Linked DNA regions of Mus musculus. The protein of the gene in region 1 interacts with the protein of each later gene in a biochemical or structural test. Links are inferred from orthologs where the notes say so. Each region holds a gene or a part of one and is shown in the gene's direction. Other genes may lie near its edges.

What was found. The genes of interacting proteins can lie anywhere in the genome.
Region 2: the proteins of Tjp1 (region 1) and Cldn2 form a complex in vitro, tested with the Homo sapiens proteins (2 studies listed by BioGRID and IntAct, with this or other methods). The link is inferred for Mus musculus from reciprocal best matches to the Homo sapiens genes TJP1 and CLDN2.

What each region holds. Positions count from the first base shown.
Region 1 is NC_000073.6:65,368,272-65,372,938, reverse strand, and holds the start of Tjp1 (tight junction protein ZO-1), read left to right. Parts: upstream 1-1,694; 5' UTR 1,695-2,102; coding exon 2,103-2,129; intron 2,130-4,667. UniProt on the Homo sapiens protein: TJP1, TJP2, and TJP3 are closely related scaffolding proteins that link tight junction (TJ) transmembrane proteins such as claudins, junctional adhesion molecules, and occludin to the actin cytoskeleton.
Region 2 is NC_000086.7:139,799,064-139,803,662, forward strand, and holds the start of Cldn2 (claudin-2), read left to right. Parts: upstream 1-1,744; 5' UTR 1,745-1,947; exon of another isoform or gene 1,948-1,961; intron 1,962-4,599. UniProt on the Homo sapiens protein: Forms paracellular channels: polymerizes in tight junction strands with cation- and water-selective channels through the strands, conveying epithelial permeability in a process known as paracellular tight junction permeability.

The sequences.
Region 1 (4,667 bases):
GCAGGACAGCCAGGGCTACACAGAGAAACCCTGTTTCAGAAAAAAAAAAAATCTATTCAACTTACCTAGTGCAGCTTATAGTTCATGTTAGATAATTTAATTTGGTTACTCAAAATACCACTGGAAAAATTTTAAGAATGGTTACATTATTTGGAAATTTTTAATTGACACACTTTTTAAAGCAAAGTGTTCTGAAAGTGAAATGGTTTTCCTTGATTTCATTTTTTTTTTAAAGCCATGGCAAGATAAGACCAATCAGGTAAATTAGATGTAGACACGATGTAGTGATCTAATATTTAGCTTACATAATAGACTTGATAAACTGATTGACCAAAGAGAAAAGGGAAGGAGTAGGCGCATCAAACTGCTAGGCAGGTTTGCAGAGTGCATCTCTTATTAAATGGTAATGCCCTCCCTGGTATGAAAGTCCTTCAGGAACCGCTTTCTCAGCCACAGCACACCCAAGTCTTTTATAATGCTGTTTTCTCATAGGATAAATTTAATCACCCCCTTTGAGAGAACACAGGACACTTTGCCTGTGAAATAACTACACACACCACAACTAAAACAAAACAAAACAAAAAACAAAACTGACTTTAACTGTTTTCCTACATGCCGAGAAACAGGGTTTGGTTTGCACGATGCTCTTTTCTGGTTCAGCTGGCTTAGAGTTACAAAATACTTGACTTTGAAACCTTAATTGATGTTTACATTTCATGTATGGATATTTCCAAGTTAGAATTAGGTTTAAATTGGTCATATAGTTGAATTCTCAAAAGACAACAATAGTCTAAAAGCCGATGCTTCTGTCTCCCTCTTCCTTGTATGGCTACTGTAGCACTATGCTAGGTACTTTAGGATGTTATCTAATGTTACTAAATTTTTCTAATATTCCTTAAGAGCTTTGCAGTATACAGAATGTAAATTAATGAAGCTCGAAATAGTTTTCTACCTAATTTTTTTTTTTTTTTTTTTTTGGTTCAGCAAGACAGTTGGCCTAAGTTTGCACAGTGGCCTATTGAACTTGTTGAATTCCGCGTGTCCTTACATCCTTTTCTGGTTTAGAAAGGCAGGCAGCCTGCTCTGTCTCTTCAGGGGCCAAGAATTTCAGCAATCTTGATAGCCTAAAATATTCTATTGAGATCCCTGTCTAGCGAGGCGGGAGAAGGGGGCTGGGATTATCTCAGTGTCCAGATTTGTACCTGGTTTATTTAAGGCAGTCGGTTTGTCCTGAGCCTTCTAGAACGCTTCTGTTGTGCTTTAAACAAAAACATATCTCCAATGGGGTAACAGTGCCGAGACACATGGTGACAGTTGTGACCATTGTTACTTGCGAGGCTAAAGAAACCACAGTTGGGTATTGGCCAGGCCGACCTTAATTGTCACACTCCTGCGTGGGGCCCATCTGGGGTTGCTGGTTGAGGAGAAAGTAGACAAGTCTGTGTAGGGAGTCAAAAAGCTTTAGTACACAGGAGTTTGGGGTTCTCGGGGGTGGGGGTGAATCGAATTCTGCCGGATCTGTGATAAAAACAAACAGGATGGATCGCGCGGCAGCGGAAACCGCCTAGCAAGTAACTTGGGTAGCCGAGCTTTTCCTTCCGCGCGGGGGTCGGACCCGGCCTGGCCCCGCCCCTCGCGGAGGCCCCGCCCCCGCCGGCTGGGCATGCTCAGTGGCCCGGTCCGGCAGGTTTTGCGTGGCCGCCTGAGTTGCCCGCGACGGCTCTGCCCGCCGACGGCACGTCTCTCGGCGGCCGCGCGTTCCGGGGAAGTTACGTGCGGGAGCAGGCTTTGGAGGAGACGCCCGAGGGTGTAGGGGACAGCCGGAGGCCCGGGTACTGCGGAGCGGCGAGCCGGCGGAGGGCGGCGGAGGCCGAGCAGGCGGCCGGGTGTGCCCCGCGGAGAAGCCCGGGCGGGGCGGACGCTTCCCGGACTTTTGTCCCACTTGAATCCCCTCCCCGTGGGCCGGGCCTTTCCGGCCTCCCCCGCCCCTGCCCCGCTCGTCCCCGGGAGATGTTTATGCGGACGGTGGCGTGAGGAGCGGGCGGGCCGGCGGCGCGGAGTTTCGGGTCCGAGGAGCTTCGCGCGGCGCGGAGAGAGACAAGATGTCCGCCAGGGCCGCGGCCGCTAAGGTGAGAACCTCTCGGCCAGCCGGGCGGCGGGCTGGGCGGCGGGGGGCGGCGGGGGAGCCTCGCCCCGCCCTCCCCGCGGCGGCAGCCGGGGGCGACCGCGGCGGGGCGGTGAGGGAAGGCGGGAGGGCGGGCTGGGGGTGCGCCTGCCGCCCGGGCAGGTGCACGGCTGCCGGTGCCTGGCTCCGGCTCGCGCTGGGAGGCGACGTGCAACAGGTCCCGCGCCTGGAAAGTCGCCCCGGGTGAGGATTCTCAGGTCCCGGGAGCGTGTCTGCGGAGACCCGGGGGTGTCAGCTGCAGCAGGAGGGTGGGTGGGTAGCCGCGGGGCTGGCTCTGGAGGAGTGGTTGGTACCCGACGAAACCCTATAGTTTCGATCTGATGTCACCCGCTGCGGTATGCGCAATGGCAGCGATAAAGCTTGGAGACAGCAAAACACTCAGCTCTAGAGTAGCTATGGTTTATTTTGAGGTTTATTATTTATGTGAGGCCACAGAAGGAGGAAAGTTTTTAAGCACTTTAATTTCAACTTTCAGAAGTAGCACAAAGTGTCCCTACACATGGACAGTAAGATGGGTGCAAACCAAAAGAGCCCGGTGAATTCTGCACAAAACAACTTGCCTATTTTCCTGTGTGCTTTGAAGTGTGCTTCTTGACAGTGTGTTATATTATTATTACATTAGGCTAAAATTCTTAAAGATGAAGTAGAATCCTTCTTTTGTACGTTTTAATTAAAAAAAAATCCTAAAGTGCTTGCTTTTTCAATGACAGACATACAGTGTGAGAAAAATCAATCCGTTATTCAAACAGCTTAAACAGGTGGTGATTTTATGTAGTTTTCTATTTGAAATACTTAATCATAACCTTTGAGAATAGATGGAAATTTCTGAATTCTTGACAGGACCTTGTTTCTTTGGCAGATACAAGGTTTAGTATAGATTGTTTTAAGGAATAGAGTATTGCTCCTGTAGGAGTAATTTAGTTTGTATCTTTTTTTTTGAGCAAACATTGATAAGAGATCTAAAAGAAAGACTGGGTCCAAAAACTAGAATCAGTGCAACATTTGTTACTTTTAAAATATAAGTGATGATATTTGCATTTGCTGGGACTTCCTTTCCTGGGATGAAAGGCTTTGTTGCCATATTACACAGAATGTCAGTTTGTTTCAGAGTGTGAGCTCTGGTACTTGTTAGTCAAGACAACACACTTGGAAAGTGTTATTCCAAGAGAAGTGTTTCCAATAGCTTGCTGTGGCAAGGTGATTTAGAAGGTGTGCTTTTACACATAAATTATGGTATTGAGATCTTATGGCACATAGGGGCACCTCTGTAGTTAAATATTTGCGTCCTTAGCTGGGAACTGAAGGGTTATTTTCTTGGATGCAGTCTTACATAAAGCCAGGCCCTCCCTCAATGAGCTAGTGAATGCAGTGTTAACCAGTTGCCTCCTTCCCTAAGTCACATTTATTGTTCTCAGGGAACCCAAAATGCTTAAGCTCCAGCTCCATGGTTGTTTTACATAGGGTGCTTTTGTTTCTCCTACCCCTGTGAAGACATACAGACACTCGTTTTGCAGCCTGCTCTTGTGTTTTTGGCACAGCAGTTGTAGAACTTGAGTGCGTCAGTACTTTTCATTCTCCAGCTTTGTAAGGTCGAGTAGTTTTCACCATGCCGCTCCAGTCATCACTGCCTTTTGGATGGAGCTGTTGGGCTTGTTTCCAGGATATTGTTATTGCAATGAGTATAATTTATATAATTGTATTTACATTTTTGTATTGTACACCTGCTACTCTATGTCAGCTTATTAAAAGTGAAACTGCTATGCCAAAGAGTGCGTTTCAAATTCTGATATACACAAACTCTTACTCCAAAGTCTTTACCTAAGAATAAACACAGCAAATATTGGTGAGTTGGCCTGAATCTTGATGAAGGACATAAATCCAAGTCAGTGCCATAAAACTCTGTGGCTGACGAGAGTCAATAGATTTACCCATGGTCCCTGAATTGATGGTTAAGTGCAGCGACTTCTAAGGAGAGTTCCATTGTGGTGGTATAGAAAGCATGTTAGCTGAAGATGTTTATCTTACCACGTAGATGAATGCAAGGAGAAAGTCCTTTCAGAAAACCCAATTTATTATAAATTCAGAGTACTTTAAAATAGAGAATGGAGTCACATAGTCAGAAATAACATATTTATGGGCTGTTAGTGATTGTGATCAACATTAAATATGAGCTAAGATAGCGGGCGTGGTGGCGTACACCTTTAATCCCAGCATTTGGGAGGCAAGAGGCAGGCGAATTTCTGAGTTCAAGGCCAGCCTGGTTTACGGAGTGAGTTCCAGGACAGCCAAGGCTACACAGAGAAACCCTGTCTCGAAAACACCAAAATAAGTAAATAAATAAAATGAAAAATATGAGCTAAGATTAATCTGTGGGGGTAATTCAATTGATTCTCACAGTAATGCTATGAAGTGGAAGCAGAAAGCTTGTGATATGCACATTTAAGACAAGCAAAAGGGAAAACTGAATATATGTCAAACTAAG
Region 2 (4,599 bases), on another chromosome or scaffold:
AGAAAAAAATCTGGAGTGTAAAAAAAATTAATAAATAAAAGAAAAAAAAACAGTAAAGATTCTCTAATCAAACAATTCTTGGCCTAGGAATTTATGGAAAGATGGGATTTTGTTTTGTTTTGCTTTGGTTTTTTTTTTTTCAGCAGCTAAAGTGAAATATGACAAAATGTTTGGTTGTGGCTAAAGAAATCATTTTACATGATGGAATGTACTATAGGTGCTCTGGTTTCCAATTGACATGGGAAGAGATCCACGATACATTCTTTAGAAATGAGAGGTTACAGAATTGTAAATAGTGTGTGCTTCAGTTTGATAAACCACATTTCCGTTAATGCTTTCCCAATGTTAGCAATGTTGACGGCTGGCCAGTGGCATTATGGGGGGGGGGACCCCATTTCCTTCTTTTATATTTTATTCTCTGAATTCTTATCAATAGAATCAGACAAAGTGGTTTGTGTGCACACTTTAGAGTCAAAAGGATTGCTTCAAGTTCTTGGGGTGCATTTGAGAGCTACTTAGTGAGGAGCCTTAATCAATACACTATACAGAACTTTCGAAGGGGCTTAAATGGCATAGTAGATAGTGCTTCTGTGTTTGGTGGTGGGGAGAAGAGGCCTACTAGTATAGTAGCATCATCAGTCTCACTGTGCAGGACCTGCTTTGAACCCACAGAGCCTGGATCTGTACCCTCTCTTAGTATGGGAAAAGACATTCTTTTTGTAGGAGGGAGAGAGGGAGTGTGGAAGGAAGGAGGGAAGGAAGCAAGGAAGAAAGGGAGAGGTGAGAGAGAGGAAGGCTGCACTCATATCCCACTTTTATTTTATTTTGTTTTGTTTTGTTTTATTTTTGAGGCCAGGTCTCGTTTAGTTGAGCTTTTGAAATGATCAACCAGAAAGAATTAAAACTTCCCCAGGGGTCCCATGCTGGGAGAAGGGAAAGTCTGAAGCCTGGTAAGAGAAGAGGGCTAAAGCCTTGGACAGGCAAAGGGCGGCTGTGCTTCTTAGGCAGAGATTTCCTGTGAGTTGTCAGACCACCTAGCAGGACAGGGGAGAGCTAGAAACAACAGACAGCCCAGGATGGACAGGACTGCACCTTGGCCAGGCTTGCTCAATCATGCATACCTTCTGCAGAAGCCTAATCCTCATGTCAACACCCTGAAGATAGACTTGCGGGAACCCTGAGCCCTTTAGTTCTTCTTCTTCCTAAAGTGGACATATTGAATAAATACTTTTTTTTTCCCGATGCTTTTTGCTATAACTTGTGGCTTTAATTTGTGTATCAGAGACAATAGTGAAGCCTAGTTTGTTGGGCCTGCCAGAGGCCAGGTTTTCATTCTAAAACTTCTGATAACCTAAGGTACACGTGTCTTCCCTTGGGAAGTTGATCTTATAGGTAGAATAGGGCTCGGGTCTTGACCAAAGAACCACAGTGAGTTAAAGAGTTCCTGGAGCAAACAACGGCAGTGCCAGGCTACTTGGGCCCTGGTTCACCCAGGCTGTGTTTATGAAGGCTTCCTTCCTGCTGAGCCTTGGGGCTGCGCGCCAGGAACACCTAATGGGCAGAACAGAACACCCTTCGCTCCCCTCCCCCCAAAGCAGGAATGTTCTAAATTCCTCCTTGGCCCAAATCCCCCTCCCCACCAAGGTTTCTCCTGGACTCACAGAGGTTCACCACACAAAAGCCCAGCTGGAGTTCTTGACAGGGAAAAATATAAAACCCACCAAACGTTTTTTGTAAGAGTACCGCAATCTTTTCCAGCCTCCAAGGGTTTCATTCCCATCTGTAAGAAGGCTCAGAGTTACAGGTGGAGTTTACAAAGCTGTGGCTAATAATTAGAAATCCCTTATCACCACAGCTTGTGACCCCTTGGACCCCGTTCGCCTTTCTCTGGACCTAGTCCTTGTCCCCAGAAGCGTCTCTTCCAGAGCTCTTCGAAAGGACGGCTCCGTGAGTATCTGGTCGTGAGTATCCTGATGCAGTTGCTACCCTTCAGGCTCACTTAGGCGGGTGGTTTTTAAACCTAGCTGCTGTTTCTGGAGCCCATGATGGAGTCAGGGTGGGCTACCTTGGACCGTTGAGGGAAGGTTTTGGAAGTGGGCACATGGCGCTACGTGTTTTCTTCAAGTTGTGACACGATTTGCAGTCTTACGGGCCAGAAGATCTGAAACGAAGGAACCAGGAGCTAGAGCTTTTCCCTTTTTGCTGGACCACAGGGGGCTAAGCAGGTCAGGAAGCTCCCATACTCTCCTGGGCATGAGAGTTAAGGGGGCAGTCGAAGGTGGGTTCCTCTGTGACTCTCCTTTTGAACCCCTCAATCGCTCTCCGTAAATGTCCTGCCTTAGACACTCTTCTTTTCAAGCGTTCTTAAATATTGAGTCGGAACCGAAACATTCGTGGCACTTAGAGATAGGGAGACAGTCGTTCTTCCTCCTCGTCCCCCAAACCTTTCCTTTCTGTGTTTTTCAGTGCTTTAAAGTAATGCTTGATTTTACTTTGGTGGCCATGACAAAAATAAGCTTCCTTTTAAAGACAATTATGAAATCTATCACTCTAGGTGCAAGTCCCTTAGCTGTCCTCAATCAACTGGTACAGAAAGGTAGATTGCAAAGAGATGGCTTTGCCACCTACTCGAGACCCTGGCTTGTGGGAGTAGCTTACCGGGATAGGGAGCCACTATCTCGGATTCCTCTGCGGTGGTGGTGGGGGGGGGGGGGAGGACTCTAAAAGCAAGGGACTGAGAAATGAGGATGGCCGCCAGCAAACAGGCTTTAATGGCTTCCATTCATAACAGAAAGCTATATCATGTCCTTCCTTGAGCCGGAGACTCTTAATGGTCCGGTGGCATCCATGATTGTAAGAGATGACACCAGGCAACATAGATGGGGAGACTATCAGACCAACTTCCCTGGTGAGAAGGAGTTAAGTAGGGAGCTGCTGTCAGCCTTTCCTCTTAATCTTCTCCCGCAGTTCCAATCCCGCCTCTAAGGAAGATTAGGTAGGGGTCCTGAGGGAAACTTTCTTGGCCAGCTTTTAGCCATGGCTTCACTCCCAGGAGACAAATTTCAGCAAGCAAGGCCTAGAGTCTCTGTATCCCCCAAAGTCTCTGCATGTGGCTTTTAGGAGAAGCCCTGAAAGAAAGGTTTCTTTTAAAGCCCTCTCTACTTCAAATAGCAGCTCCATAGTCTTGTGTTGGTTAAAATGGTCACCTGTTGCCACTACCTGCTTCCAGGTGAGAGAACCTTGTCGATGAGCTAAGCCAGGGATGAGGGACCGAGGGGATTTCTTCCCCAGGTTCTAGGCACAACTGAGACAAGAAACTAGAGCGTTTGACGCCCCGCCAGGACCCTTAAGCTTCAGTGTCTGCTACTGCTCACCAAAGATGAATCACTCCTGGCTGGCTCACCTCACCAGCCAGTCACTGGCCAGCATGTCAACCTTATCTTCCTGACCCTAAGGGAAAATTAAGTGGCAGGGAGCCACTTCTTCCATTTGAATAAACCCGGATAGTGTCCCTTCCTCCTGCTGAGCTATGGCAACCCACTTTCTGAAGATTCCAGCCTTCAGTAAGGGTAGTTTCTTCACTCAACTACAGATACTTTTCTCTCATGACTACCAAGTAAGGCCTGCCTCTCTGCATAGGATTTCCTCCTGGAGAACCTTTGATTCCCTTGGGGGAAACTGAGGATTACTGTTTTGTTTCTGTTTGCTTTTTTTTTGAAACAGAGTTTTGCTATCCAATACTCCCTGGAACTTCGCAGTGTAGCCCCAAGCTGGTGTCTAACTCAGCACACTTCTGTGTCTACCTCCTGAGTACTGGGATTCCAGGTTTGTGTGCCAGCATGCCCAGCTCAAGCTTCTGTCTGTTACCATCCCAAGAAAGCAGAGGCCCGAGCTGCTTCTCTGCGAGCCAGGGGCTCTTTGCTAACAAAACCTTCAAGGGAGCGCTCTTCAAGGGAGTACTTTTCTGAGTGTATTTAACTCACCCCAGGCAAGGTGTGGAGCAGGGTCCAAGAACAGTTCTCAAAAATAGATGATTATAACACTAAAGAATGACCAACAAGTCTCCAGGTAAAATGGTGGCTGGCAAGGCAGATGAAGGAAACTGCACCTACTCTGATACAGCTAAGTTGGTATGCACATGTGTTGGGGGTCATGAAACGGGAAGTTAAGGGCTAGAGATGAAACTCAGAAGTATGAGGTCAGATAATAGAGAGCTTTCCCTGGTTTCCTAGGAGACTGAGCCTCATAGTAAAGCCATCAAACATTCCTAAAGTCTTTTAAGCATGGCAAAGTGTAGCATGACTGCTATGACTGGATTTGTACTTTCGAAAGATCCCTCATGACTATCTTGATGATTGGTCTCAGGGACAGGACTGAAGTGAAGTTACAGAGGCCAATCTGAGTTCCAATGGACAAGTGATGTTGACTGTATTGTCTAAAAAGGGTTGGACGGTGGAGATAGAGAGAAAGATAAATTTGTGTTTTATTTTGAAAATATATCTGGCAAAACAGCACTATGATTATAAATCAAGAACATGTGAGGAAGCCAGCTGCAGTGGCTCATCCTTATACTCCCAGCATTCAGAGGCTGAAGTGGAA